4 linked regions of the Callithrix jacchus genome follow. The protein of the gene in region 4 purifies or fractionates together with the protein of the main gene of each other region. This does not show direct contact. Links are inferred from orthologs where the notes say so. Each region holds a gene or a part of one and is shown on either strand. Other genes may lie near its edges.

Region 1 (8,412 bases), on a different chromosome or scaffold from region 4:
TCACTTCGTCATATTAAGACTAAACTTAGGATAATAATGCAGAGTGAACTTTAAAAATATGAATTTGAGAAAACAAAACTGTCCTTCTAAGTTCTTTAACAATGAAATTATATATACTCTTCTTAAAATCTCAAGAGACCTATATACCCTATTTAAAAAGAAAAAAGAAAAAGAAAACTTTTAGCTTGTTTCAAAAATACAGAATAATATACCCTGGGACTAAACTGGTGGCCATGTTTAAAGCCTGCTCATTCCTTTTCAACTTCAACTTTTACCCACGTTTAAAACATCTATTTTAGGGAGTGTCTCATTCATTCAGATTTTCCACTCCCAACTAAAAACACCCATTTTTCAGCTCTTCACTTTCCATCAGTACTCTGGAAAACCTAAATATATCGAAAATAATTCCAACTTTACATTTTCAGTGTATTACCTGCTGAACTATCTTGCTGTCTGGAAACTACACCAGTACCCAACTGTTGCCCTACAATTTAACATCCATAACAAAGTTTACTGTCCCATTTCCAAACTCTTTTTTGTAAGAAGCTACCAGCAACACACTAAGCATCTTCTTTTTCACTCCTTCTGTATAGCTCAATAGCCATGACGTAAAAATGTTGGTTCCTAGAGAAAAAAAAAAAAAAAAACCCAATCCAGGCACAATGGCTTTGCCTAAAATGTAATTTCTCCCCAGTCATCTGAAACTACTCTCTCAGGAACACTCTTCTCAATTGCTTCTCTGACTGTAATCATGTGTCTACACAAACACAACTGACCCTAACACTACTCAACAACCTCCATCTGTATTCCCTTCAGACCAACTTCATAATTTTATCTGTCCCTTATGCTTCCCCATTCTAAAAGTCTTAAATATTTTGTCTCCACTTGCTCTTTTCTTCCTAAAAGAAATGTTTCCAGATATTGCTTTAACACTTCAATTAGTTCTACACAAAAGCAACATTTCACTAGTGAAAAATGTAAAAATACATTAACAGCTATAAAGTGCCATATAATATCTAACATCTAGTGTGATCTTAAATATTGGTCTATCTCCCCAGTAGCTTCGTGCAATTTGTGTTTGATTGTCTCCACCACCTACAAGTCAAAGCATCTCAAAGACAGGGACCCCAAATACTTTGTCATTTCTACTCAAACATGTAATAAATTCTGGCTGGGCACAGTGGCTCACACCTGTAATCCCAACACTTTGGGAGGCCGAGGTGGGTGTATCATTTAAAGTCTGGAGTTTGTGGCCGGGCGGGATAGCTCACGCCTGTAATCCCAGCACTTTGGGAGGCCAAGGCGGGTGGATCACGAGGTCAACAGATCGAGACCATCCTGGTCAACATGTTGAAACCCCGTCTCTATTAAAAATACAAAAAATTAGCTTGGCATGGTGGCGCGTGCCTGTAATCCCAGCTACACAGGAAGCTGAGGCAGGAGAATTGCCTGAACCCAGGAGGCGGAGGTTGCGGTGAGCCGAGATCACGCCATTGTACTCCAACCTGGGTAACAAGAGCGAAACACCATCTCAAAAAAAAAGTCAGGAGTTTGAGACCAGCCTGACTGACATGGTGAAACCCCATCTCCACTAAAAATACAAAAACACTAGCCAGACATGGTAGCGTACGCCTGTAGTTCCAGCTACTGGGGTCGCTGAGGCAGGAGAATCGCTTGAACCTGGGAGGTGGAGGTTGCAGTTAGCCAAGACTGCACCACTGCACTCGAGCCTGGGTGACAGAGAGAGACTCCATCTCAAAATAACATAAAATAAAATTACCAAAATTTTTAACCAATCTATAGTTAAAGCAATACAAGTAGTCCAAAAGTTAGTGAGCAACTTTGACAGAATGCAACCTACATTCAAACTACAGTTTGTTTCTTAGTTTGTCCTCCCCTCCTTCTCAAAATACAGGTTCTACATGACTACATTTCTCTTTATCATATCTTTGTGAAAAACAAAATACATGACTCTGATTCTAAGTCTAACATTACATCCACTATTCAATATTTTCATGTCAGTACACACTTAAAAGACAGAATTTAAGGTTCCTTACCAAAACATAGTAAGGCAACTAAAGAAAAACAGTACAGTGGGAGAAGTTCCAGAGGAGGAAAAAGTGGTCAAAGAAATAAGAAACATTATTCTAAGACAAGAGTTGGAGAAACTGATGGTAGAAATAATAAAACACTATAAAAGTAAGGAAAGATGAACTGAGGCTTGTTCTGGTATTTCTCGAAACACAAACTCTGGCTGTGTCCTGAAAATTTATGGACACAGGTATGGAATATATAAATAAATTGCCTATGGAATTTATAAATGAATTGTCACATAATACAGAGGCTAATAAACTTGCAGAACTCATTACTTTAAAAGAATAGGACCAAACATTGTTAAGTTTGAGTTTTAAATAAATTTAATCAAGATCCTGAATGGAGAACTTCAGATAGACTGATAACCCCAGGCTTACATTCATTACCACAAAGCAACTCTCAGCAGTGGCTTCAGACAGAAGGAGCCCACACAGTTGTCTAGACGGACCACAATTCTCACTATAGTACTGTCTATGCCTGCTTACATAAAATTCTACTCTATGTTTAACCCTTAAGGACTGTATATGATATGTTAATTACTTCCATGAAACTTTAATTTGGTACTTTGAGAACATTACTAAAATGCAAGTCAAAGGTTTTATAGACTTCAACTTTAAAACAATGGAAGGAAAAAGTCATTCCTGAAAGAATTAAATATCAAAAGTGTATCCTAAATTGATACAGAAATAAAGACAATACAAAATAGCAAAACCTCAAACAAAATTAAAAAGTGTTGTCATTTAAGATGTTACTCCAAAAAAAATAAAAACTTGGTGAAGGGGAAAAAAATCACTTTTATAAAATGATTAATGTGATAAATGCTCTTCCCCAGATAAGCTGTGATTCCTAAGAAATCAAGTTCCTAAGTGAAATCTGTTACAGTGTCTCCTGACACACAGACCCAGGAACTGAGAAGATTAACTCCTGTATCAATAGGTACTAAATGAAAATCTCCCAAGACTGTTTTTTCATTTTTTTTTTTAAAAAGGGAATTTTGCTTTCGGGGGTCCTATATAAGAGTACCCCAGAAACAAAAAGAACACTGTACACACCCACAGTACCAGGAAAAGGTTACAGATACAGATGGCCTCTGTGCGCACACATCCTCTGGCTTCCTCAATTTCCCTTTGCCAATTACTGGCCAGAAAGGTGCGAGTATTCACTCTGAAGAAGGAACTCCTCCAAGAGAAACCTGCATACTTGCATTACTCGTACAGAGTTAAAAAGTTACGAAATACAGGCCTCCCTAACACCTTCTCCCTTCTGTGAATAAAGCTAGACCCTCTTGTGACTCCCAACACTCCTGGGAACATCAGCAAAACTCCAGGAGGAAGCGCCGGCATCCTCCCACTTTCTCCCCTCAATTCCCTCTCACGGGGCCACTCACACTTTAGAGAAGAGCCGCGGCGCCGAGAAAGTGGGCTGGTTCCCTTCCTCCTTCGGACTGAGGCGGCAGCGCGGTCCTGAGGAAGAAGCGGCTCGTGTCGCTAAACCAGGCGGCCACTCGGGTCTCTTCCGTGCTGCCAGGGGCGAGGAGGCGGCGGCCCCGCTTACCTCCTCTTTTCCTCTTCCTGGGTCTTTTCAGGCTGCGACTCCTGCCCGTCCAGGGCCACTTCTCCCAGGACAGTCACGTTTGGGAGGCTCTGGATTTTGTTTTTATAAAGTTTCCTCTGGGCGGAGGCTGTGGCCGGCCCCCCGGATCCCCCCCGGCCCCGCCGCCCTGGGGGCTGGGGCGGGGGAGGGGGGCTCTAAGAACTCCTCCCGGAGTCCAGCCAAGGAGCCGGGGGGCCGGCGACTGGCCAAGGGAGAAGACCCCCGAAGGGGGCTGAGGGGAGGGGGAAGGTGAGGAAAGGACGGCGGCGTCGGTCCCGCTCTCTCCGCCGCCCCAGCCGCTGCTTCACATCGGGGTCCCAGTCCCCCCGGCCGGGGGGGTGGTTGCAGAGCTTGGTTGGGGCCCCGGCTCATACACTCCGGGGCAAGATGCTACGGACCCGGGCGGGTGGCCGAGGCGGCGGCGAGGCGGGGGACCCTGCCGGCTCCGCTCGGCGCCGCCCCCGCTCCCGGCTCCTGCATGTGTCGCTGCGGCTGGGACCCCCCTCCCTACACCTTGGGGGTCCCACGCCCCACGCCCCGGGACGAGGCAGAAGCTCCGGCGCCTCCTCAGCGTTCTCTCACCGCGGAGCAGCTACCCAGTCCCGGCCCGCGGTAGCCGCCTCCCTGCCCCCCAAGCCGCCGGCTCCGGCTCGGGCTCGGGCTCGGGCTCGGGCTCGGGCTCGGGCTCCGGCTCCGGCTCCGGCTCCGGCTCCGGCTCCGGCGTGTGCAGCCTCTGCTGCCGGCCGGGAAGGTGAGGGGGGGAGAGGTGTGCGGCCGCGGCTCCCGCTGACCCAGGTGAGGGCGAAGGTCTCAGCGGCGGCCAGTGCAGAGGGGCTGAGTCTCTCGGATGCTCCTTCGCTCTTACTCTCGGCGGCGGCGGCGGCGGCGGCGGCGGCAGCGCCCGGAGCTCAGTTCGCTGTCTCCCTCGCTCTGTGCGGGGCTCTCGCCTCACTCTAGAGAGAGAGGGGCGGGAGGAGAGCGGCGCCTGCAGATGACGCAAGTCACCTAGCAACCGCTCTCCTCCCCCTCCCTCTTCTTTCCGCTCTGAGGCTTCCTCCGCGGGCCTTTTTTCCTAGTCCAGCCACCCCGCCCTGGGCGCCTCTGGCGCGCTCTGATGACGCTCCAAGGGAAGAGGAAGTGGGGATAGGCGAGCGGGTGGGTGCGCCTCGGGCCGCGGGACTTGCAGCCGCCGCCGCCGCTGCTGCAGCCTCTACGGCCGCGTCAGAACTGAAGAGAGGAAGGGGAGGAGCCGAGACAAGCCTAAGCTGCCGCCCGATCTTACCCCTGACCCGAGGGCGGCCCGGAGAGCTTGCTCTGTAGCGGTTTCCTGCGGGGCAGGTGGGACTGCTCCTTTGGGAGGAAGTAGGAGGCCCAGGCCGCGCCTTCAGGCAACTGCGCGCACCACCCGAAGGTGAGGCATTTGGCTCCAAACAGGCCCTCGAAAAGCCGGACTGATCGAGGAGTTACCCCACGGCCTGATCCACTGCACCTGCCCCAGGGAGAGAGCGCCCCACCCTTCCCGTGGCGTGGGGTGAGACTCAGCGCTGGATAACGTGTGGTCGGGCAGAGCAAATGTTTGATGAATGAATGAATGAATGAATGCCTCCTCACGTGGCACTCGCGAAGCTCATAGGATATGGTGGAAGTGCAAGCGCTTTTCAAACTGCAGTGCATTGTAAAAATGAGTTGTAATACATTCCTCCCCTCCCCCTAGCTATGAAAGGAAACAGGGGTGCGGCCTGAGTACAGAGTCACAACCTGAGTCTTCAGTGGAAAAGGAGATGAAATGCTGGGCAGGGGAAGGAACCCATCCTCGGGCAGATTTTTAGGGCGGCGGGGAGGGAGGATTGGAAGGGAACCATCATCCGGGAGATTGTGGAAGGATTTTTGACTCTCAAGGGAAGAATTTCATTAGTAGTGCCACACTTTTACGAATCGTTCTTTCTTACGGTTTGGAGCTTTCGAGAGCTTCTCGTCTTGGTTCATCAGTGTACAGTGTCATCAAGAAATGTTGGCCTGTGTTTCAGGTCTGACTCAAAGGTTATTTTCTTTCTAAAACAAATATTATTACTATTAGTGCAGCTTTTCCTACAGACGTTATCCTGGAAAGGAACGTCAAGTAAAAACTCATGAAGTTTAAAGTGTAGTTCTCCAGGAAAAAAAATTTTTAATAAAAGGATCCGAATCCTGAGAAATCTGTCTTGAGTGAATAGCATGAGAATGGTCAATCGTATCAGAAAGACATTAAAGCAGCAACAATAATGAAAGCAAATTTCACAATTATGTCGCTGGACCCTAGTACATTCCACCTCCTCTGAAAACAGTAGTAATGGATATTACAAGTATTTCCACCTCGAGGAGGGGTGAGATAGGAGCAAGTGTATTATAAACAAATTTGGGAAGCTCTGGGTTTCTGCCACTACTGCCACCACCATCTGCAAACGGTAAACTAAGGAATATTTTAACTGGGTAAATCCAAGGGCTCCTGTTGATTAAAATGCTACAGGAAAGGTGGTGGGAGGGGCAAAGGAGGATGTGGCAAAACCAAGGAGAGTCTCACAGACTTAGCATCTGACCTTACTGCCCTTGACCTGAAGTTGCAAGAGCCAGGTTAAACATCCTGCTTAAGGCCGGGCGCGGTGGCTCATGCCTGTAATCCCAGCACTTTGGGAGGCGGTGGCGGAGGCGGGCAGATCACACCAGCTACTCCGGAGGCAGGAGAATCACCTGAACCTAGGAGGCGGAGGTTGCGGTGAGCCGAGATCTCACCACTGCACTCCAGGCTGGGTGACAGAGCAAGGCTCTGTCTCAAAAAAAAAAAAAAAGTCCTGCTTAAATTACCCTGGATCTTTCTGTCTTTACATGACCAATCCCCTGCTACATCCTTCCAAATGAGACTCACAGTTAATCAGACCAAAAAGTAATGGTCTCACATGGCTACCATATAAAGATTTTTTGTTTTCCCCCCTCTTCCTATATTACAGCAGGGGAATGGTGGAAATTAAAGGAGTAAAACACACAGATTTAGGGGATTTTGTGAAGCTAAGCACCTCAGAGAGTTTAAGCTTTGTGGGCTTTGACGGAAAAGAGTGGAAACATCAGAGTTCTGCAGCCCAGCAGAGAACACCTCCAGTTAAGTGTGTTCCACATAGAGTTTTTCGGCAGCCTGATCTGTTTTCATTGTCCGTGGCTCCCCCTTACAGCCTCAGTGCTGTAGAACAGAATGGCACTCAGGAAAGCCCTGAGCCACCTACTTAGAAAGTATTTAATAACAGCACTCTAAGCTTACTAGGCTAGATACCCACCTCAACACCCAGCTTGATAACTGGAGGAAACAGCTGCAACTGGAGACTGGAGAGAAGGAAGTTCACACAATTTCCAACTTGGTCTGAATCTCTTTAGTTCCTTGTATGCTTATTAATCCAGAGGAGAAATAGCTAGTTAATTCAAAGTTCCAAAAAATCTGAAGTTTTAGCTAATAGTTCTTTCCCTGGTTCATCAATTTATGATAAAGATTTACATACTGTGTTAAAACATAACACGGTTTTTGACCTTTACACTTGAAAGTGAACTCTAATGAGAAACCAATCAGTGTTTTGTTATTCCACATCAGTGGGTTTTACTGTCAAAGATTGTGTAAGCTAAATTATCTGGCAAAATTTTGCTCTCCAGAAATGCTATCCACAGTATATTAATTACTTTTAACATTTTTATTGTGAAATATACTTTAAATACATAAAGCAATTATATAGTATAATAAGTGATTATAAAGGAAACCACCATATAACTGATCAACGAGGTCAAGAAATAAAATATTTCCAGCAACTCAGAAGTCCCTCTCCCTGCCCCATGACTTTCCTGAGCACAACTGTTTGCCTCCCTCCTAAATGTAGCCATTATTCTGACATTTGTGATAATCATTTCCTTGCTTTTCTTTATTGTCTTGTTGCAAGCATACATCCCTAAAAATATGTTGTTTAGTTTCACTCTTTTGAACTTTATGTAACTAGAACAATATAATATGTAATCTGTTGTTCTTGCTGCTTTTGCTCAACATTGTTTTTAATTCATATGTTGTTCAGGTTGTTCCCATAGCTGTAATGTGTTCATTTTCATTGCTGCATATTACAGTGTCTCATTGTAACAGTATGTGACAATATGTTTAGCCATTCTATTGCTGATGGGCATCTGGGTTGTTTCCAGTTTAGGACTGTTATAAATGCTAATGTGAACATTCTTCATAGATGTATTCCATCACATCTACCGTAAGTTTCTATAGGGCATATACCTGAGAGTGGTAATATGTATCATAAACTAGAATAAATAATGCCAAGTTCTTTTCTAGAGGGTTACGTACTCTAGGCATGTATGAGTCCCATTGCTCCACACCTTCACAACACTTGACATTGTTAGTCTTTTTCAGTATTACCTGTCTGGTGGGTATGTAGTAGTGTCTCGTGGTCTTAACTAGCATTACTGATTACAGATGCTGTTGATGACCTTTTTGTATACCACTAGCTATTTGGATTTCCACTTTTGTGGTGTGTTATTATCTATTTAACATATAAGTCTCTGAGATACCCAACTTTTCAATATCCTTTCGTAGTCCACATTTGAACAGGTAAAGTAATGTTATGGGATGTTTGGGGTGTTGCTTTTCTAGCTGGAAACCTCTGTGGCCAGTGGTGCCTTTACCACTGAGTCTTGCTCAGGCCCGCTGACTCA
Region 2 (6,755 bases), on a different chromosome or scaffold from region 4:
AATTATTTTAACCTTGGTTTGAACCACATGAAGAGAGAAACCCAGAATGAAGAACAGAGGTATTAGGAAACGAAGGACCTAATAGGACACAGGGTGAAAGTAAAGGTGGTCACAGCATCACAACAGAGCCTCTGCCCAGAGAGCTGCCAGTCCTGGCTGGAATAGGAGGCTGCACACCAAGGGGCATTCTCTAAGGAAAACACCAGAACCAGTGGGGCCTCTGATCCACTTCACCCCTGTAGAAAACTATGGAGATGCTGTGGGAGAACATGGGGAGAGTTAGCAAATGAAAAGAGAAGGCAGGCTGGGCGCAATGGCTCATGCCTGTAGTCCAAGTACTTTGGGAGGCCAAGATGGGCAGATTACCTGAGGTCAGGAGTTCAACACCAGCCTGGCCAACATGGTGAAACCCCATCTCTGCTAAAAATATAAAACTTAGCTGGGTGTCGTGGCGGGCACCTGTAATCTCAGCTACATAGGACGCTGAGGCAGGAGAATTGCTTGAACCTGGTAGGTGGAGGTTGCATTGAGCCGAGATTGTGCCACTGCATTTCAGCCCAGGCAACAGAGCGAGACTTCATCTCAAAGAAGGCCAGGTGTGGTGGCTCATGCTGTAATCCCAGCACTTTGGGAGGCCAAGGCAGGCGGATCACAAGATCAGGAAATCAAGACCATCCTGGCTAACATGGTGAAACCCCATCCCTACTAAAAATACGAAAAATTAGCCGCATGTGGTGGCACATGCCTGTAGTCCCAGGTACTCAGGAGGCCGAGGCAGGAGAATTGCTTAAATCCAGGAGGCAGAGGCTGCAGTGGTTGAGTTCGTGCCATTGCACTCCAGCCTGGGCAACAGAGTGAGACTGTCTAAAAAAAAAGAGAGAAGGCATCATTAGTGATAAGAAAACAAAAAGCTATACAAGGAAATAGTCTGCTAATTGACCCAGCAAATAACATTAAGACAGAGGTACTAACTGAAACACTGAACGTTGTTTTAACAAAAAATTGAGTCTTAGAAAGGGTAGTGGAAGGGGAGGCAGATACTGGTCTAGAGTAAGAAGTGCATAGATGTGAACTCTATCAGTAGGCAAGAGTAGCATGAGCTGAAAGAGCCCAGGGAGGCTTTGGGGAGTGGAATGGGAGCAGGGAATATGCATCACAGCCTCTGGCAACTGGTGACTCTAAGCTGTGGGTATGGAGACTTTTGACACATGTAATTTTAAAAATATTGTGATTCCTCCCTCTGTCCCTGGTGAGTTATGTGAGCCTGGAGGTGTGCAGGCTCCCTGTGCTGCCAACCTTGGGCCCTACGCCTTGACTGCATGGCCTGTCCACCTCTCTGAGCAGAGCCCTAGCGTTTAGGTGCGTGTACGTGTCATCACACAAAGCCTCTGTGTGCAAGTATCATGAGACACACAGCCTTCCATCACTGGCTGGAGGTGCCTGCCACATGTAGCATTGGCTCCCCCTGTACTTAGGGCCTGGCCCTACCTGCAGTGTAGCCCATGTCCTGCATGGTTAGGAAAAATAAGGTCTCTTTGGACTTCCTAGCTCTGAAGCTGACCTTAGATGTTAGCTGAGGTTCATGTTTTAGTGGATTGGAGAAAGAGAAAGGTCCAGTATCATAGGCACACAGAGTTTCCAGAAGCCACAAGAGATTTGGAGCTGGGATACTGGGAAGAGCCTCTGACTCAAGGGTTTGTATCTTGGCTGGTCCCATACTGGCTATGTGACTCTAGGGTCAAGCTCAATAGGAGAACCTAGCACCTGTATCCACATGCTGAGTGCCACCATCCAGACCTTTACCTGTTGTGGGGACTGAATGTGAGATCTTTGTGAGTCTGCAGTCCCCACATGCCAAGCTCCTGCCTGCAGGTGCATCCTTCGGGGAACTTCACAGTTTTTTCTTTCCTCCTTGGCCTCTAGGCATTGAAGTTGATATTGATGTGGAGCATGGAGGGAAAAGAAGCCGCCTGACCCCTGTTTCTCCAGAGTGTTTCAGCACAGAGAAGAGCAGCTTGCAGTCAAGCAGCTGCTGCTCTGAGCCCAGCAAGCCCCGTGGGAACGTTGAGGGCGCCACGCAGTCTCTGGCGGAGCAGATGAGAAAGATTGCCTTGGAGTCCGAGGGGCACCCTGAGGCAAGCTTGTGCCCCTCCCGCCACCTGGGACTGTGGCCAGCCTAGTGATTTGTGGCCTGCACCTCTGCCTCATCCTCAGCACCTATGCAGCCCCACTTATAAAATCCAAGGGAGCTGCTGCTGTTCCTGTAGTGATGTCTGTGGCATTAAAGTCCTTTGGGAACCTGCTAGAATTTTGTAGTTACTTGGTCTTTGAGAGTGACTCACTATTCCCTGTAGCCCCCTGCAGCTTTAAACACATGCCAGGAGTTGGTGTCATGTCAGGCTTGGCCTGTAGGGAATGTCTCCTGTGTGCTCATGGTGCGTTTTGTTCCAGGAACAGATGGAATCTGATAACTGTTCAGGAGGAGATGATGACTGGACCCATTTGTCTTCAAAAGAAGTGGACCCATCTACAGGTGAACTTCAGTCCCTACAGATGCCAGAATCTGAAGGGCCAAGCTCTTTGGATCCCTCCCAGGAGGGACCCACAGGGCTGAAGGAAGCTGCCTTATACCCGCATCTGCCACCAGGCAAGTGAACCAAGAGGCTTTGTATTCATTCCTACCTTTCCCTTCAGAGCATCCTGTCCCCTTCTGATTTCAGCGACACAAACATAAGGATGGGATGTTCTCCACTTTGGGGCTTGTCTGTAGGCTAGGGAGGTTAGGAGTCCTCTTAGGTCTACACTGAGCAACAGCGAGTAAATTCTGCTAATGTAGTTCTAAAAATTTTTTTCTTGAAGCAAACTCCAGAGCAAGGAATATTAACTGTAGAAGTTTCTAAAACTTAACATGCAGACCTGGAATTAAGGCAGGTGTGACACAGAGTTGGGGCAGCACTGGGTGTGTCCCCACTACTCACCTTGGGCTCAGACTCTTCAGTGTCTCCTCAGGGAGGGCTGGCCTGAGAGTGGGGGTCATAGCCGAGATCCCGATAGCCAGGCAGAAGCCACCACTGAAGTGGGTGGTGTAGAAGGCAGTGAGGGTAGGGTGGGGGGACAGCTGACACGCAGCTGAGACTCATTGTCACATGGCAGCCGTGGGTAAACCAAGGGCTATGTGCACCGCCTGCCATGGGCTGCTGGTGTGTGTCTTCTCCACCTTAGGGGAAGGGATGGTGAGCTATGGCTGATGCGCCAAGAGTATTTCTTATATTTTTAAATCAAATAATGTGACAGTTAGATGAAATGCATATTTCAGTGTCCATTGATAGTTTTGTTTACATACCACCTGGCTGCCTTGTGTCACAGTGGCAGAGTTGAGCAGTGTGAAAAAGACTGGCCCTTTACAGAGAAAGCAGGTCCACTGTGGCCTGGGCCAGAGCTCTGGGCAGGCTTGTCCACTGGCAGACCTGGTCCCAGTTGGCCAAGGCAGGAGGCTGTGTGTTTTGGGTCACTCAGGGGGCTCAGAGCCATTCCTCATGGCTTCCTTACTGTTTTGGCAGAGGCAGACCCACGGCTGATTGAGTCCCTCTCCCAGATGCTGTCCATGGGCTTCTCTGACGAAGGTGGCTGGCTCACCAGGCTCCTGCAGACCAAGAATTATGACATCGGGGCAGCTCTGGACACCATCCAGTATTCGAAGCATCCTCCACCGTTGTGACTGCTTTTGCCCACCTCTTCTGTTGTCCCCCACCTTGTGTGTCATAGTTATGTTAAGCTACTGTAGAACTGCAGGTCTCTGTATGGGCCAGTTTCTCTGCCTTCTTCCAGGATCAGGGATTGAGGTGCAAGAAGCCATTTAGGAAGCAGCAAAACAAGTGATATGAGGGTAGGGTCCTCATGTGTGTGCACTGATGTCTGAGAAACAAGACCGGCCTCCGGGTTCCCTGGCTCCTTGCAGCGGTGCTGGGCCTGCGAGACCTGAGGCTCACTGCAGTGTGCTCCTGACCGCCCCCATGCAGGGGCTGCATTAGCAGCCCAGCACATAGCTTGACTAATGGCCTTCCACTCTTTTTTTTTTTTTTTTTTCCATGACTCATAGGTCCCTGACATTTAGTTGATTTTTCTGTTAGAGACCTGGTACTCTCTGATTCTAGATAAAGTAAGCCTAGGTGTTGTCTGGGGGTAAGCAAGGGAGGGGGCTGTCTTGGCGCAGGCAGTGGCAGCCAGTGCTGTGGGCTTCCTGCAGGGACTGAGAAAGCTCATGAAGGGCATCTGCAGTCACTGAGAGCTGCCTCCTGGTCTCTTCACCACTGTAGTTCCCTCATTTCCAAACCACCAGTAAGATCTCTTTGTAGCTATCCTGTTATATTTGTTAACAATCTAATTAAATGGTATCAGCACTTTAACCAATGACATTTGCATAGAGAGAAATGATCTGTTTGACAGTAATTTTATTGTTGGTGGTTCTTACATAGTATGTTTAAAAGTGCCTTTGGGGAACCCTATCCCTCCTAACAAGTGTATCTCGATTAATAACCTGCCAGTCTTAGATCACAGATCATCATCAAAGTCTTCCCCAGTTGTAAAGAGGTCACATAGTCTCGTGGATTGGGGATTCTGTGCCTCTTGGACCAAGGGCCCACCCTCTGCCTGACAAGTCCTTGCATCCCATGAGGTCTTCCTGCAGGGCCTCTCAGGCCCAGATGTGAGGGTGTGTGTGGCTTGAGGAAGCTGGGCAGCAGCTGTGGGCCTGCTGAGGCCTTCCTTTGAAGTCTGTGCCCTGGGGGTCCCTTGCTTAGCCTGTGCTGGCCCAGCTGGCCTGGGGTTTCTCTGCAGAGGCCTTGGCTGCTCTCTGTCCACATGTGAACTGTTTCTAGGTGACAGGACAAATTGTGCCCATTTAGAGGATGTAGCTGTAACCTGCCCAGGACTCCTCAGCTCCCTGATGCTGCACTCTGCATTGTTCTCCCAGAGGCAAGGGCTGCTGCCTTGTTTCACCTTCCATGTCAGGCCAGCCTGTCCCTGAAAGAGAAGATGGCCATGCCCTCCATTTGTAATAACAATGCCAGGGCCCAGCAAAATCGCCTGCCATGCCTGGACCCTGGCTGGGCCTATGGTTCTGACACTTTGTGCTGGAAGCTGTCGGGCTGGGGACAGGCTTTGATTCTGAGGGTTAGCAAGACAAAATAAATCCCTTCTACCTCACCCCAAATCTTCTGCTAAAGTGCATGACCAGGCTTTCCAAAAATGACATTTTCATGTCATCAGGTGATCTATTTCCTGGCAATCTTAGAATCAAGTCAACAGTACTTAAAAAGGAGGTTTGAGCAGGGAGGGTGTAGAGACGTCCGGAAAGGGGTGGGCTGGCTCCATCCTACCACTTCCCACCTGGGAGTGGCTCTTCAGAGCCTGCCAGGTTCTGCAGCTGCAGTGGTGGCAGCACCAAGTGCTGGGGCCTGGCTTCGCTCACCCCAGGAACCAAAGATGTACTGAAAGTTGGGGTGTAGGCTGGGTATGGTGGCTCATGCCTGTAATCCCAACACTTTGGGAGGTCGAGGCAGGTGGATCACTTGAGACCAGGAGTTTGAGACCAACCTGGCCAACATGGCAAAACCCTATCTCAAATAAGAATATAAAAATTAGCCAGGCGTGATGGCATGTGCCTGTAATCTCGGCTACTTGGGAGGCTGAGGCAGTATCATTTGAACCTAGGAGGCTGAGGTTGCAGTGAGCTGAGATCATACCATTACACTCCAGCCTGGGTGACAGAGCAAGACTCTGTCTCAAAAAAAAAAAAAAAGTCAGGTTGTAGGCTGGGAGCAGTGACTCATGCCTGAATCCCAGCACTTTGGGAGGCCAAGGCAGGCACATCACTTGAGGCCAGGAGTTCGAGACCAACCTAGCATGGTGAAACCCTATCTCTACTAAAAATACAAAAATTAGCTGGACATGGTGGCATGCACCTGTAATATCAGCTACTTGGGAGGGTGATGCAGGAGAATCACTTGAACTCGGGATGCAGAAGTTGCAGTGAGCCAAGATTGTGCCATTGGACTCCAGCTTGGGCAACAGAACAAGACTCCGTCTCAAAAAAAAGATGGGTTGTATTGCTTACAAAGGGATGTGAAAGCAATGATAAGAGTAGGTCCCTGCTGCACTGCCACCAAGGCAGTATGGAAGAGGCTCTGTGGCCCTGATTGACACTTGATGTTGGCTTTGCTACTGAACTTGCTGTGACCGCACAAAAACTGCAAGTCTCAGTTCCTCACCTTTAAAACAAAACAACAGGCTTGATGGAGCATAAAACACAATGATACCATTAAAACGTGCAGCCTAGGGACTGACATGTAGTGGACTCTGATCATTCTTCTGGGATTTGGAGATTCAAGGCCACAAACTTAACCCATGGTCACAAAACTAGTTGGCAGCAATAAAGTTTGAACTCTGCCTCTTGCCATGAGCCAGTGCTCTGTGCGTGGTGTGAGGTCACCCATGTCTGACCTTGGTGACATGGGGGTGGGGGCAGTGACTGAAGCCCAGTGGACTCCCAACTGCAGTGCCCTTATTTGTGCCCTGGCTCCTGTGACAGGCAAAGCAAACCCTGCACTCTAGCGCTGGATATGCGGTGGGGCCTGCTGGATTGGAAGCTTAAAGAACAAGACAACTGGGCCAGGTGCAGTGGCTCACACCTGTAATCCCAGCACTTTGGGAAGTGGGAAGACTACTTGAGCCCAGGAGTTTGAGACAAGCCTGGA
Region 3 (7,347 bases), on a different chromosome or scaffold from region 4:
TGTTCAACGAACACTCAAAACACAGAGGTAAAACTTTAATCTCAGAGCGCCCTTCCCAACTGCCGGTCCCCCAACCCCTCACTCTCTCCCCCACACCAGGGCCGGAGAGTGAGGCCCCCTGCCTCCCGCCTTGGGTGGACGAGGGCCCTTTAAGGCACCTGTGGAGGTGGGGAGCGAGGGTTGGGAGCTGGTACCATCCTGGATGCAGGGACGGGCTTTGATTGGCAGGCTGTTGTGGCGATGGATGGAACCAATGAAAGGGGGTGTCAGCCGCAGGGACAGTTTGGGGCCATCCCTGAGGGGGTCAGGGGAGAAGCAGTCAGGACTTGGGCAAAAACGACCCTAGCCCCCGTAGTGTAAGGAACGTAAATCGAAGGCCCCAGGCCAATTCTGGGAACAGGAGGGCTTGGCCATGCCCCCAGGAAGCTGGAGCTAATCAGGAGGGAGAACTCAAGCCCTTTACAAGATTCGAGCCAATCAAAAAAAAAGAACTGCCCAGCGACTAGGGGATGGAACCAATGCCGTGCGACCGAAGGCCTTGTCGCTAGGCAGAAAACAACGGAGTGGACCCGTTTAGGGCTTAGAACTGAGAGAGCCAATCCCTTAATAGAAGGAATCTGTCGCTGGGCAGAGAGAGGCAATCGAGAAAAGGGGCATATCCCGCTCCTCGGCGCTGGAAGTCGCGGGCTGGAAGGGCAGCGGGGACTGGCAGACACTGGTCAATCCTGGAGGGCTCCCAGATCAGCCTCGGCTTGGCGGGCCCCGGGCATGGGGCGGGGACGTAGTGTGGGGTGGAGCGTACGCGGCCCGGGACGTTCCCGCCCCGGGCCTCAGTATTTCCGCTTCAGCTTCTGGAAGTCGCTGGTATTAAGCCGCGGCCGTGGCAGGTCCCCGAAGACCTGGGTGTCCTCGGCCTCCCGCAACACCAGTGCGCGCATACTCGCCGCGATGCGGTCCAAGTCCGGAGAGGAGGGCTGCGGGGACGGCAACAGGGCGAGGTCGGCGCCAGCATGGCCACCCCTGCACCCACACGCAGCCTGGGCGCGCACCCTGGCTCCAAGCCCACTCCTAGCACGTCCCCGCCCCCCGGCCACTTGTGCCCTGAGATGCCCACTGCTAGCAGTGCTCTTCCCCGTCTTGCTCTGCGTAGGAACACTTCTTACCTGGTTCAGACACCTCCTCCAGGAAGCCTTCCTGCCCTTCCCCCCCGCCTCCCCTTCTTGGCCTGGGACATTGCTTCCTACACACTGGAAGTGCTGTTGTCTGCTGGCCATTAAGGCTGCGTGCACTGCCTCATGTCTGAGGATCTGGGCTGGGGTTTCAGTCATGTTCCAATCAGATCTCTGCTGCTAATTAGCTGGGAGCAAGAGGTTTTGCTTCCCTAGGCCTCAGTCTCCCCTTCTGAGAAATGGGGTGGGCAGCAGGATCTCTGTGAGGGCTGAGATAATCAGCTGTTATTGCTGTATCATGTGGCCCCTGCTGTACAGAAAGCGTCCCTCCCTGTGTCAGCCCCCACCAAGGAGCGGTCCTGCCATTCTGCCTGCAGCTCCAGCACCTGGTCCTGCCTCCACTACAGCCCCGACACCTGAGCTGGGCCTGTTCCCTTGCAGGATGGGACCCAGAGACCCAGATCAGGAACTGGACCTGACCAGGGGGAGGCCAGAGCATCCAATGAGCTGTGTTGCTGTGCGTCCCAAGCACAGACAGCAGCAGCAGGCAGACCCTGTCTGCACCGGGCCTGGTTCCTGCTCTTCAGCGCCCACTGCCTCGTGGAGGAAGGAGGTAGGGAGGACGTGACCACTGTGACTGCTGGTTTACACATGAGGACACTGAGGTCTGAGAGCATGGACTGTGGGGACCCAGGCCACCTCCCTCAAAGCCCACAGCTCCTTCCTGAAAGGCAGCTGGATTCCAGTCCCAGCTCTGCCCCTCAGGGAAGTCACATGTCCTCTTACTGCCTCAGTGAGGGGTGAGGAGGACCCACCCAGGCTAGCCCAGCCCAGGAGCTTCAAACAGGGATGAACGAGACCGGGGGGTGGGACAAATTCTGCAAAGAGCCGGGAATGTGCAGGGTGGGGATGGGAGGTGATCTGAACTCTCCAAGCTTCAGTTTCCCCATCTAGAGGGAATGCCTGTGCCTTGCCCAGAGCAAGTGTTCTACAAATGAAGACGCTCCTGGAAAGGAGAGGGCTTCTCTGTAAGGCACTAGGACACACGGTAAGGCCGCAGTTGTTAAAACTGCAAGGCTTGGGCCCAAGAACTTGCTTCTTGAGTTTGAGGGGAGGATTCAGTCAGCTTATGGGTGGAAAGTAGCATCCATGCCAGAGGGCTTCCTGGAGGAAGTGGCTCAGAGCCCTTCCAGCTGCCCTCCCTACCTCCCCCCATTTGCCCCTTACCGGCCCATTCTCCTCATCCGATGACCGTGCCTCTGTCCTCTTCTCCTTGAAGGCCCAGACGGGCACAGACACAGGCAGGGACTTGGCATACTGCTGTGTGGGCAGGGCTGAGGCTGGGGGGACTGAGCAGGTCGGGGGCCCAGTGGGGGTCTCCTCACTCAGGCTGCCATCTGAAAGCGAGGGTAAATTTCAGCGTCTGTGTCTTTGTGCCAGCCACCCACCTCCAGGTAGGGAGGGGACCACCCAGGACACTCACCATCTGTGCTCTCGGGGTCCGACTCACAGAAAGGGGGAAGGTCCTGGAGGGTGGCATCCTCATCCATCACGAAGAGCCCTGTGGATGGTGTGAGTGAGAGGCCCGGGCCAGTGGGCGCCTGGCCATGCTCCGTGTGCCCTCCTCCCCAGCCACGGCCCCGACCATGGTCCCCGCCTCCCTGCTGAGACCCACTTCCTTCACCTCGAAAACCCTTCCCCTAGCCACCTGCCTGGTCATCGGCAGAAACACACCCTCTATGCATCTGTCACCTTCTCGGCTACACACGACGTAGCTAACAGGAAACCGCTACGATCTGTTCGGGACGATGGGACTGAAAATACAGCCTGAGAGAAATACGGGATGACCGTGACCTCTGTTGACAAAGGAGACCTGGAGGCCCAGAGGGGTTAAGTCACTTGTCGGAGGTCCCATGGCTACTAAGGGACACCACCAGGATTTGAACTCAGGATGCCTGCCCTCCCCCATGTGGATTTTCTCCCACAACAGGTAGGAGGCCAGCCATTAGTAATTACAGCCGAGCGCTGTGGCTCACGCCTGTAATCCCAGCTCTTAGGGAGGCAGAGGTGGAAGAATAGCTTGAGCCCAAGAGTTCGAGACCCGCCTGGGCAATATAGTGAGACCCCGTTCTCCACAAAAAGGAAAAAAACAAAAAGACAAAAAAAAAGTAATAACAAAAAAGGACCTCCTAGTTACTGATCAAACTCCTACTCACTCCTCAAAGCCCTAGTGTTACAACCCAACCTCTGGAAGTATTCAACCCCCAGATGCCCCCCACAACAGCTGAATGGGGGGCTTCCTCAGATGTCTGCTGCATCCCTGACAGCTCTTCCACTCCTATCTTGACTTCCAGTCATCGTGGAAATGACTCTGGTTCTACTTATGCCCTGCTCCAGAACCCCCCGACCCTCATCAGGACTCCAATTCCTTGGCTAGACTGGAAGCCCCTTGAAAAGGGCCAAAGTCTGCTCTGTGTCCCTGTGGCTACCACTTCTAGCACAGAGCTGGCTCCAGGACCAGTAAGGCTCAGAGCGGGGAAGGGATTGGCTTCAGATCACACAGCAAGTCCCAGGCAAGCCTGTCTGGCTCTGGGGTCCTGAGACCGCATCTCGATGGAAGTACTCAGGACTAAGCAGGTCCCACCACCCCAGACCCCAGGAAAGCCTCCAGCGGGTACCTTGTCAAACGCTGGGCTGCCCCTGCCCCTGTGCACGCCCTCTCACCTCCGTCATCACCGACGTCCAGTCGCTCCCCGGAGGTCTCTGTCTCTGTGGGCTCATCCTCATCCTCCTCGTTGTCCTCCCTTGCCAGGGCAGGCTGGGGCAGGCTGGGTGTGGGGTCGGGTGACTGCGGTGCTGGTGGGGGCGCAGGAGGCCGGGCGGCGGCAGCAGCCCTGTGGGCCAGCGCGATGTCGTGGAGGCAGCGGCGCGCCGCCTCAGCCAGTGCTCCTCGGCCATGGGCAGCATAGGCACAGGGACCCGGGCGGGGTGGTGGCGGTGGGGCTGCAGTCAGCAGCACCAGCTCCGTGCCAGTCCGGGCCCGGAAGCGTTCAGCGGCCCCCACCACGGCCTCCCACAGCTCCTCGGGACGCCCCGATGCCATCCGCGCCCTGCGGCCAGAGCAGGACAGAGGGGGCTGAGGCTTGGCTGCCTCCACCACCCACCCAGGGTGTCCGCCTGTTCCCTGGATGGCACTCACCCCCTCCACCCACCCACCCACCCACCCAGGGTATCTGCCTATTCCCTGGATGGCACTCACTCCCTCCACCACCCACCCAGGGTGTCTGCCTGTTCCCTGGATGGCACTCACCCCCTCCACCCACCTTGTCCCAGGGGTGCTGCGTGTCCTCCCCAAACCTGCTACTCTCCAGATTCTCACCATCCAGCCCTCCCTCGCAGTCCCAGGCCCCAGCGAGCCATCAGCCCCAGCCCCATTCCTCCTGCCACCCCGCTCCTTGCCCTTTGGCCCTGCCCTGGCCTCTGTGGGAGCCGCCAGCCACATGTGAGTGGGGAGTCGCAGCAGAGAGGATGCTGAGAGGCAAGCCCGTACCTGATTCTGAAGGCTGAGTACAAAAAAGCAGAACAGACAGGCACGGTGGCTCACACCTGCAATCTCAGCACCTTGGGAGGCCACGGCAGGTGGATCACTGAGCCCAGGAGTTCGAGATCAGCCTGGGCAACATGTTGAGATCCCGTCTCTATTAAAAAAAAAAAAAAAAAAATTATCTGCTTTGACTCTTTCGTCATGGTTTTTGGAAAATGTGGAATTCCACGTGGAGCTTGCACGTCTCATCCACAGCGTGGTGCCCAAGTCCCAGGGGGGTCCTTCTGCACCTGGAGCTCCTGCTACTCCTCGCCAGAGTCCTCAGGACAGGGTCCCTGGCCCTCAGCCTGGCCCTGGAGGCCCCGTGTGTTCTAGCCATCCCTGGCTCCTGGGCCATCCTGCCTCCACAGCCTTCAGACAACACGGACCCCCCAAACCCTGGATCACTCGTGCTCCGTTCCCCACCTACCTGCACTCACCCCTAGATCCAGCCAGTTTCCTCCCTGGGGGGGGTCCCACCATGTCTGAGTGGCCACCTCCCCAGCACTCTTCCTTCCAGAGGGAATTGGCTGGTTCCACGACTGAGGCCTCAGAGAGTCAGGGCTGAACAAGGGGAAGAAATGGTGCTGGGATTGCTCTGTGCGGGGAAATCCCTGTGGCTTTTTCTACAAGACTGCTCTGGCAGGTCCTCTGTCGTCCCTGATCACCCAGGGTGCAGCAGATGACTTCAGGAGCCCACCCGATGCCCTGGGCTTCCTCCATGAGCGCTCATGTCACCTGAACTTGTGACAGCTGTACCCCGCTGCCTCCTGCATCAGACTGTGAATTCCCCTGAAATAAGGGATTTGTGTTCACAGGACAGGTTGGCCCCAAGCAGACAAAGCAGGGGGCATCTCCTTACCCGGTGAGATGATCGAGGGCAAGGGTCCTTGCCCTGTCTCAAACCTGCTGTGTGACCTTGGACTGCTCATTCACTAGCCCTCTCTGTGCCTCACTTTCTTTCCCTTTAACCAGAGTAGCTGAGCCAGAGCTGTTGGGCTTTGGAAGAGGCTCCTTGGGGAGGCAGTGAGCACACCATCACTGCAGGGATTCAGGCAGAGCTGTGGTCCAGCATGCCAGGGTTAAGGGAGCAGGGAGTCCCGGGTTGGAATGAAACTTGCAGGCCCTTTATGACTCACGATCGTGTTTACTGAGCAGCTACTCAGTGCTGGGATTCCACATCTGGCATTCCCCCCCCACCCCGCATCTGACTCACTCAGTCCAAAGCCCCGAGGGAAGGAAGAGGTTTATCCAGCACTTCCCAGAAGCCATGCCAGGACCAAAGACGGGCTCAACCTTCTCATCCCACCCTTTTACCTAAGCTATGAGGCAGGAGCCATAGCTACAGCTCACCCCACTTTGCAGTCGCGAACTCAGGCCCAGGGACAGTCAGCACCTTGAAGGGCCCCACAACTGGAAGAGGGAGGGCTGGGATCTGGACTCCGACGATCTAATCCAGAGCCTGTTCCAAATTCTGATCGCCATCCTACCTGCCTTTAGGAGGACAGATGTTGGCCAGGCACTGTGGCTCGCACCTGTAATCCCAGCACTTTGAGAGACTGAGGCTGGTGGATCATAAGGTCAGAAGTTCAAGACCAGCCTGACCAATATGCTGAAACCTGGTGTCTACTAAAAATACAAAAATTAGCTGGGTGTGGTGGAGCGCACCTGTAGTCCCAGCTACTTGGGAGGCTGTGGCAGAAGTATCGCTTGAACCCGGGAGAAGGAGGTTGCAGTGAGCCAAGATGGCACCACTGCATTCTAAGCCTCGGCGACAGAGCAAGACTCCGTCTCAAAAAAACAAAAAACCAAAACAGATCTCCTAATGTAGATGGCAAAGTGAGGCTCAGAACTTACGACACTGGCCAGAAAGCACAAGCTACACAGGGCACAAGTGGAGCTGAAACTGATGACTGCTCAGCCCCAAAACCCCACTGAACCGGGGGGTACCCAGTGTCTCCAACACACCCCCATGTCCTTCCCACCTGATGAAGGAGGAAACTGAGGCTCAAAGCAAGGAAGTGGCTAGTCCAGAGTCAACTGCCTGCCCGTGCTAGGCCTGGGGCTCTCATTTCCACGCGCCCTCAGCCCCTAATGACATGAGAAGAGGGGGGAGCGGGGGGAGCGGGGGGTCCGGGAAGAGAATGTCAGGATGAAACTCCCTCCCTGTACTCAATCTTGGAGTAGCCACGAGACTGAAGAGAGTGAAATGGGGTGAGTGGGTTGTGAGGGTTCCCCCAACTCAGGAGACATGAGCAAAAAGGACAGGGCGATTTCCACAGGCCTTTCTGCCGAGGTCCAGGGACACCCTGCAGTCTGTTCCCCGACAGGAGAATAACCAAGACCTGGGGGTACTCCTTACCCTTCAGCTTCTAGAGGAGGTCCGGGCTCCTCCAAGGAGCTGAGAGTTGGAGGAAGAACCCGCCCCGATGGACGAGTCTCGTTTAAGATCAGGTAGAGATGAGAGGAAGGTGGGACGTGTTCCCCACAAGAGGGAGGGGGCACGATGTAGAGTGTTAAGGAGAGGGGTGTAAACACCCCCGCTCGTCGAAATTTTAGTGCCCCTCACCCCAAGATGTGAGGAACCCTAGAGTG
Region 4 (7,811 bases):
CCCCGGCCTGCTGCAAGGTAGGTCCTTCGTATCATGTGGATCCCCCTCAAATAACACCCTCTCAGGGAGGGCATTCCCTGACCCTACACTCACCCCTTCCCCACCACTCTATCCTATTTTGGTTTTCCTTTCAGATAGGACTTGCTGCTATCTGAAATTATCTTGTTTACTTGTTTATTATGTTTCCTGCCACAAACCATCAGCTCCATAAGGACATGGATCTCGCCTTGCTATGCTCACAGAATGGTACACAGGGAGCCTGGACACCTCTGCAGCGGCTTCTCACCTCTCCCTCCATGCTGCTGATTCGGACCAGCTCGTTAAGGATCAGCAAGGCTCCATGGATCCGATCATCCCGATTCATGCCCTTCTCTTTGGCCAAGGTCTCATCAAACCCCTTCTCTGCTTCTTCAAATGTGTGCTATGTAAAGAGATAGAATGCCTTCATTAGAGACAGAGTATGGCCAGAAAGAATACAGGCCCATCCCATTGATACTGGGGGTTCTGAGGTGTTACCATGCCTGCTAAGGGCCTTGTGCCAGTTATCAAAACTAACTGATCAAGCTCTTTTATTTAATTCAGCTTCAATTCTCTCCTTTTTTTTTTTTTTTTGAGACAGATGGAGTCTTGCTCTGTCGCCCAGGCTGGAGTGCAGTGGCATGATCTCGGCTCTCTGAAACCTCCAACTCCTGGATTCAAGTAGCTGAGATTACAGGCACACACCACCACACCTGGCTAATTTTTGTATTTTTAGTAGAGACAGGGCTTCACCATGTTAACCAGGTTGGCTCAATCTCCTGATCTCATGATCCACCCACCTCAGCCTCCCAAAGTGCTGTGATTACAGGTGTGAGCCACTGTGCCCAGCCCCAGCTTCAAGTCTCATAATGAGCCTTTGAGGAAGATACCATCATCATCCCTATTTAACAGCTAAAAACTCAGGCTCAAAGAATTTAAGTTACTTGGCCAGGTGCAGGGGCTCACACCTGTAATCCCAGCACTTTGGGAGGTCGATACAGGCGGATCATGGAGATCAAGATCATCCTGGCTAAGACGGTGAAATCCTGTTTCTATTAAAAAAAAAAATTAGCCAGGTATGGTGGTGGGCACCTGTAGTCCCAGCTACTCGGGAGCTTGAGGCAGGAGGATCACTTGAACCCGGGAGGCGGAGGTTGCAGTGAGCCGAGATTGTACCACTGCACTCCAGCCTGGGTGACAGAGTGAGACTTCATCTCAAAAAAAAAAAAAGAATTTAAGTGACTTGTCCAAGATCACACAGCAAACTCAAGACTGGAACCCAGGCCTCTCAACCCATGTTCAGAGCTCTATTTCTAACGTAAGACTTACTGATGAGTTCCCTCTGCAGAAGCAATCAGCACAGGCTTCATGATACTAGAGCAAAGAGAACTGGCACTTTCTAAATTAGTATCATTTGTATTTCACTGATTTTGAGACACCAATTTTTCCATATTTTAACACCTCTGAAAAGAGATGTCTTTTGTTGCTGTTGTTGTTGTTTTTTTTTTTGAGATGGAGTTTCGCTCTTGTTACCCATGCTGGAGTGCAATGGTGCAAGAGATGTCTTTTTTTAAATTTTTTTTTGAGACAGAGTCTCACTCTGTTGCCAAGGCTGGAGTGCAGTGGCGTGATCACGACTACTGCAGCCTTGACCTCTTCAGCTCAAGCAATTCTCCTGCCTCAGCTTCCCAAATAGCCGGGGCCACAGTGTGCAACACCATGCCCACCTAATATATATATATTTATATATTTTTGTAGAGACAGGGTCCCATATGTTGCCCAGGCTGGTCTCAAACTCCTGAGCTCAAGCAATCCTCCTGCCTTGGCCTCCCAAAGTGCTGGAATTACAGGCGTGATCACCTTAGGTCAGGAAATCGAGACAGGTGGATCACCTTAGGTCAGGAAATCGAGAGCAGCCTGGCCAACATGGCGAAACCCTGTCTGTATCAAAAATACAAAAATTATCTGGGCATGGTGGTGCATGCCTATAGTCCTAGCTGTTCGAGAGGCTGAGGTGCCAGAGGTTGAACACGAGAGGCAGAGGTTGCAGTGAGCCAAGATTGCGCCACTACACTCCAGCCTGGGCAACAGAGCAAAAAAAAAAATTCATTTGAGACCAAAACAAAAGTGATTCTTGCTCCAATATCACACAGCAAATCCAAGACTGGAACCCAGGTCTCCCAACACATGTCCAGAGCTCTTTTTCTAACATAAGACTGGCAAAGCCTGTGGCTGCCCTTTAGGCCAGGTGATTCTCTATGTAGATGTGCTTTGCTAAAGGCTGGAATGGGGCGATCTCCTCACCCGGTACCACTGAGGCTTCTGCATCTCCTTTGGCTCACGCTGGGTGGTAAGAATCAGACAGGCACGAAGGGCGGCTACAGCTCCCTCACGGATGGCCTGTTTGGGGTCCCACACGGCCACAAAAATGTTGTCAAAGAAGGGCTGCACTTGCTGGAAGAAGAAGGTAGGGACGCTGATGGCCAGCTCACGGAGAACCAGGACCTGGAGAAAAAGGCAAACTGAGAACTCTCATCGGTACCAGAGTTGTGTTCTCTCGGGTGCAGTCTCTTATCATCTTAGAGTCATACACTAGCAACAGGGAAGGCTTGCTCACTCTTCTAGCTAGGAAATTCTGGAGACAGAGGAATGGAAGCAAAACTGAGGAAACACCTCAGTGTTCACTATCCTATGTTGTTTACAAACAAAAACTGCTAGTAATGTTTGAACATAAGCTCTGGAAGCGCAGATGTGTTTTATGTTTTCTATACCACTATACCAACAGCCTAGAACACTACCTGGAATGCAGTAGGTATGTAATAATTATTTGTTGAATGGATGATCCTGTTTAATGTTTAATCATATTCTTTTTATTTGACAGAGGAAGAAACTGAAGGTCAAAAGCTGCCCTAGGTTACAGAGTTAGGAAGCTGGAGAGCCAAGACTTGAGCCAGGGTCCAAGTGTGTGTCCCTCTCCTGATACCATGCTCTCTCCTCACTGTACTGCCTCCTCTAAAGGGGAGCAGACTGGAAAGTATGCAGCTGATGCTTCCGATTCCCATCACACCACTACTAGATTTTTTTCTCTCTCTCTTTTTTTTTTTTTTTTTTTAATAGAGATGGGATTTCACCATGCTGGCCAGGCTGGTCTCAAATCTCTGGCCTCAAGTTGATCCGCCTGCCTCCGCCTCCCAAAGTACTGGGATTACAGGCGTAAGCCACCACACCCAGCAATTCTCTCTTAAGGACAGACTCTACCACATCTCACAGCCTGGAATCCTAGCCTTCTAAACAGCCTTTTTCAGGGATAAGCCTCAAAACGAAGCAAAGGATCCCACCATGACACCATCGTTCCCCAGGCCTGGCTGTGCTCCTCCCTGCAGGCACTCACAGCTGCGTGTCTCCGGCCCTCATTGCGGTCAGCACCCAGCCATTCCAGGGCTCGCTTCACCTCAAATTCCACATATTCGGCAGTGAAAGTGTCCCCTGCCATGGCAAGGCGGCCAATGGCCTTGGATGCCATTTCCATGACAACTGGGTCATTGGAGGGGAGGAGGTTCCGAAGATAGTTGGCAAATCTGCCAATTCGGGTGGCATTCCCACCTTCCACTCCTATGAGGCTGGCTAGAAAAAGAGAGGAAGGCAAAAGGTGATGACAGGGCCTATGCTGGCCAAAAAAGCATACAGCCTAAACTAAAAGCTGGCAAGTGATCCCTCCATTCTACTTTGAGTACATTTCTAGATGGCAAGAACGCAGACAATTTCATTTTAAGCCAGATGTTTAATACTTCTGCCAGAAATACTTACATAAAGCAAAATAATCTCAGGCTAGTATAGGTAACTGCTCCCTCCCCCAAAAAATAGAGAAAACAACTGGGACTGAATAATAATTCACAGGACTGATGACCAGTCCTTAGAAGTTAAAAATAGCCTGCCTGGCTGGGTGCAGTGACTCATGCCTGTAATCCCAGCACTTTGGGAGGCCGAGGCGGGTGGATCACGTGAGGTCAGGAGTTCAGGACCAGCCTGACCAACATGATGAAACCCCATCTCTACTAAAAATACAAACATTAGCTGGTCATGATGGCAGATGCCTGTAATCCCAGCTACTCATGAGGCTGAGGCATGAGAATCATTTGAAACCAGGAGGCCAAAGTTGCAGTGAGCCAAGATTGCACTACTGCACTTCAGACTGAGTGACAGAGTGAGACGCCATCTCAAAAAAAAAAAAGATGACCTGCCTTTTATTAACTATACTGATTCCACTTTTCCATCTGTGAGCCCCACTATCAGAAACCCTGCTCTACTGAGGAACCAGTACCTGTAAAAGGCACCATGAAGGAGTGGAAAGAAAGCTGGGTTCTCCAGGCATGGTAGCACATGCCTACAGTCCCAGCTACTCAGGAGGCTGAGGCAGGAGAATCACTTGAACCCAGGAGGCAGAGGTTGCAGTGAGCCGAGATCGCGCCACTGCACTCCAGCCTGGGCAACAGAGTGAGGGCAAAAAAAAAAAAAAAAAAAAAAAAAAAAACCAAAAAGAAAGCTGGCTTCTAGTCTCAGCTCTGGTAAACTGTCTGAAAAGTCACTCAGTGGTTCTGAGACTCCACTTCCACACCTAAAAATACATTTGCCTGCAGCCCAGGAATGCTGCTAGAATTAAAAGCCACGGGCTTCTTAAATTTCATTAAGCAAATATGAACTAGCATCCAATAAGTGCAGACACAGGGTGCAGTGGACACAAAGATGAGTGTGTTGTTTTTTGTGACCAGAGACTCTGTCCTTACCTATGGCCAAGATGCCACCTTTCCTCTCATTGGCATCTGAGCTGGAAACCAATTCAAAAATGTGATGGTTCAGCTGGTCATAGAAGCGAGTAGACTCCTCTTGACTCATCTGCAAAAGAAGATGTAATTACAACAATTTCTAATAATTCTCTGACTGTGGTGGTGGGGGTGGCCTGGCATCTAAAGATTAGCTCCTGAGAGGCAGGTAGTGTAGTTCAAACCAAAGAAGACAAGTTACTGCAATTTCTGTAAGAATACATCGCAGAACACCTGAACTTGCAATCAGCTGATTATTTAACAAATACTTAATCGGTATCTACTCTGTGGCAGAAAATGTCCTGTCCTAGGTTCTTTCTAGTACCAGGGATACAAGGATAAAAACAAGACAGTTTCTGACTTCAAGTCTGGTCTCTATTTAGAAAGCCCCTGGGGCCAGGCACAGTGACTCATGCCTGTAATCCCAGCACTTTGGGAGGCTGAGGAGGGTGGATCATCTTAGGTCAGGAGTTCGAGACCAGCCTGGCTGACATGGAGAAACACTGTCTCTACTAAAAATACAAAAATTAGCCGGGCATAGTGGCACGTGCCTGTAATCCCAGCTACTCAGGAGGCTGAGGCAGAAGAATTGGTTAAAGCTGGGAGGCAGAGGTTGCGGTGAGCTGACATCGCACCATTACACTCAAGCCTGGGCAACAAGAGTAAAACTCTGTCTGAAAGAAAAAAGAAGAAATCTCCTAGCTCTCAACTCTCCAAACCCATCCCAATCACTGTTAACAGACAGGAAGCATTGAGGGTATGGTATGTGCTTAGGTAAAAAGAAAAAGTTAAAAGAAACAGCTAAGTCTATTCTAGCCCCTCAAATGTAACCACAAACAAGAAAAATGCCACAGAAATGTGCAAGTGCTGCAAACGAACCTGCCTTTTTTATGGATGTAAGAGGTTGGGGACCTTTCTAAAATAATCTCTATTTTCCAAATCTTCACTTAGCTATCCAAAAAATCTACACCAGTGATGGTACATTTAGCGCAAACATCCCACAATGGCTGGCCCCAAATCACAGAAGCCCACCTCTCGGAGCTCCATGGTGACGTAGTGCTGGAGCTCCTTGGCAGCTTTGGCCCTGGTCTCCTCATTCCGGCTCTTCAAGCCGCTGGCAAACTGCTGCAGAACGCTCACATTGCTAGATATGGTGGCAGTGGTGGTGGCGGCGGCAGGTCCAGTTCCAAGCATCTTGCCCTGAGGTTCCTTAGAGAGAAGTTTCCTTTAATATTCTGGGTAAGAAAGTATGGCGATAAATTTATGCATGGCCCTGATAACTCAACACAGATCTCCCCCTAGTCCTTGTCAGGTAGGGATTCTAGAAATGTTGAGAGATCTTTTGGAGGAAGATTTAGAAAGCCTAGATTCAGTCAACAATGACTGATGTATAAAAGAGGCAGTGTAGTGGGGAGAGTCAAATTGTGGGCTATGGAGCTAGCCTACTTGGATTTGAATCCTTTTGTTATATACCTTGAGCACTTTGGGAAGCTGAGTTGGGAGGATCACCTGAAGTCAGGAGTTCGAGACCAGCCTAGCCAACCTGGTGAAACCTCATCTCCACCAAAAATACAAAAATTAGCTGGGTGTGGTGGCATGCACCTGTAATCCTAGCTACTCAGGAGGCTGAGGCAGGAGAATAACCTGAACCTGGGAGGCAGAGATTGCAGTCAGCCGAGATCCCGCCAGTACACTGTCTCAAAACAAAAACAAAAACAAAAAACAACAAAAATAAGGTCACATACCTTGAGAAAGGTATGTGAGACTCAAAATGTCTCAGTTTCTTCAACTACAATAGGAAGACAATAGTACCTAATTCATGGGTTGATGTGAAGACTAAATCAGTTAAACATGTTAAAAAGTGTTTAAGACAGTATAGGGCATATACTGAGTTCTTAATACTTGTTAACTATTATTATTGCTACTACTCCTATGTACATGACACAGTGCCAGGTAACAAATGTGGGGAGGTAGCGAAAGAATTAAAAATGACTAAGACTGCCCCTTTCCTCAAGTTCAGTCTAAAAAGGGAGATTATTATTCTACAGAGGCACTGTCTCATGGAAACACAGGCCAGGCACAGTGGCTCATGCCTGTTATCCCCGTACTTTGGGAGGCTGAGGCAGGCAGATCACCCAAGGTCAGGAGTTCAAGACCAGCCTGGGCAACATGGTGAAACCCCATCTCTATAAAAAATACAAAATTAGCTGGTGTGGCAGTGCATGCCTGTAATCCCAGCTACTTGAGAGGCTGAGGCAGGAGAACTGCTTAAACTCGGGAGGCAGAGGTTGCAGTGCACTGAGATTACACCATTGCACTCCAGCCTGGGCAACAAGAGCAAAACTCCATCTCAACAAAAAAAAAAAGAAAGAAAAAGGAAATAAAATGATCCACAAATGTAATATTAAAGCTGCTGGTAGCCATATTTCCAAAAGTGAAAAAAACAGGTGAAATTAATTACTTAAACCAACATATCCAAATATCATTTCAACATGTTACCAATATTTTTTAAAACTGATATAGTGTGCATTTTTTTTGTAGTGAGTCTTCAAAATCGCATGTGCACTCTACACTTAATGTCAATTTGAACTAGTTACTTTTTTTTTTTGAGGAGTCTTGCTTTGTCACCCATGCTGGAGTGCAGTGGCGTGATCTCAGCTCACTGCAACCTCCACCTCCCTAGTTCAAATGATTCTCCTGCCTCAGCCTCCTGAGTAGCTGGGACTACAGGTGCCCACCATCAGGCCCCACTAATTTTTTTGTATTTTTAGTAGAGATGGGGTTTTACCATGTTGGCCAGGCTGGACTCAAATTCCTGACCTCAGGTGATCCACCCACCTTGGCCTCCCAAGTACTGGGATTACAGGTATGAGCCACCATGCCCAGCCTGGACTAGTCACATTTGAAGTGCTCTACAGCCACATGTGGCTGATAATTCTTGTATTGAACAATGCAATTCTATAGAAGACTAGC

Evidence for each region.
Region 1: the proteins of MTOR (region 4) and FBXW7 purify together in Homo sapiens (affinity purification with western blotting; 9 studies listed by BioGRID and IntAct, with this or other methods). This does not show direct contact. The link is inferred for Callithrix jacchus from reciprocal best matches to the Homo sapiens genes MTOR and FBXW7.
Region 2: the proteins of MTOR (region 4) and SQSTM1 purify together in Homo sapiens (affinity purification with western blotting; 4 studies listed by BioGRID, with this or other methods). This does not show direct contact. The link is inferred for Callithrix jacchus from reciprocal best matches to the Homo sapiens genes MTOR and SQSTM1.
Region 3: the proteins of MTOR (region 4) and AKT1S1 purify together in Homo sapiens (affinity purification with western blotting; 8 studies listed by BioGRID and IntAct, with this or other methods). This does not show direct contact. The link is inferred for Callithrix jacchus from reciprocal best matches to the Homo sapiens genes MTOR and AKT1S1.

The regions. Positions count from the first base shown.
Region 1 is NC_133504.1:44,159,512-44,167,923, reverse strand, and holds the start of FBXW7 (F-box/WD repeat-containing protein 7), read right to left. Parts: upstream 4,643-8,412; 5' UTR 3,649-4,642; exon of another isoform or gene 3,558-3,648; 5' UTR 3,482-3,557; intron 1-3,481. UniProt on the Homo sapiens protein: Substrate recognition component of a SCF (SKP1-CUL1-F-box protein) E3 ubiquitin-protein ligase complex which mediates the ubiquitination and subsequent proteasomal degradation of target proteins.
Region 2 is NC_133503.1:71,806,571-71,813,325, reverse strand, and holds the end of SQSTM1 (sequestosome-1), read left to right. Parts: intron 1-741; exon of another isoform or gene 742-864; intron 865-1,803; exon of another isoform or gene 1,804-1,923; coding exon 1,924-2,135; intron 2,136-2,451; coding exon 2,452-2,647; intron 2,648-3,560; coding exon 3,561-3,718; 3' UTR 3,719-4,410; downstream 4,411-6,755. UniProt on the Homo sapiens protein: Molecular adapter required for selective macroautophagy (aggrephagy) by acting as a bridge between polyubiquitinated proteins and autophagosomes.
Region 3 is NC_133523.1:43,645,125-43,652,471, forward strand, and holds the end of AKT1S1 (proline-rich AKT1 substrate 1), read right to left. Parts: exon of another isoform or gene 6,106-7,347; intron 5,317-6,105; 5' UTR 5,236-5,316; coding exon 5,183-5,235; intron 4,868-5,182; exon of another isoform or gene 4,720-4,867; intron 4,280-4,719; coding exon 3,894-4,279; intron 2,731-3,893; coding exon 2,653-2,730; intron 2,567-2,652; coding exon 2,397-2,566; intron 975-2,396; coding exon 831-974; 3' UTR 21-830; downstream 1-20. UniProt on the Homo sapiens protein: Negative regulator of the mechanistic target of rapamycin complex 1 (mTORC1), an evolutionarily conserved central nutrient sensor that stimulates anabolic reactions and macromolecule biosynthesis to promote cellular biomass generation and growth.
Region 4 is NC_133508.1:49,125,248-49,133,058, forward strand, and holds part of MTOR (serine/threonine-protein kinase mTOR), read right to left. Parts: intron 6,074-7,811; 5' UTR 6,033-6,073; coding exon 5,871-6,032; intron 4,912-5,870; coding exon 4,803-4,911; intron 3,643-4,802; coding exon 3,410-3,642; intron 2,524-3,409; coding exon 2,323-2,523; intron 422-2,322; coding exon 287-421; intron 1-286. UniProt on the Homo sapiens protein: Serine/threonine protein kinase which is a central regulator of cellular metabolism, growth and survival in response to hormones, growth factors, nutrients, energy and stress signals.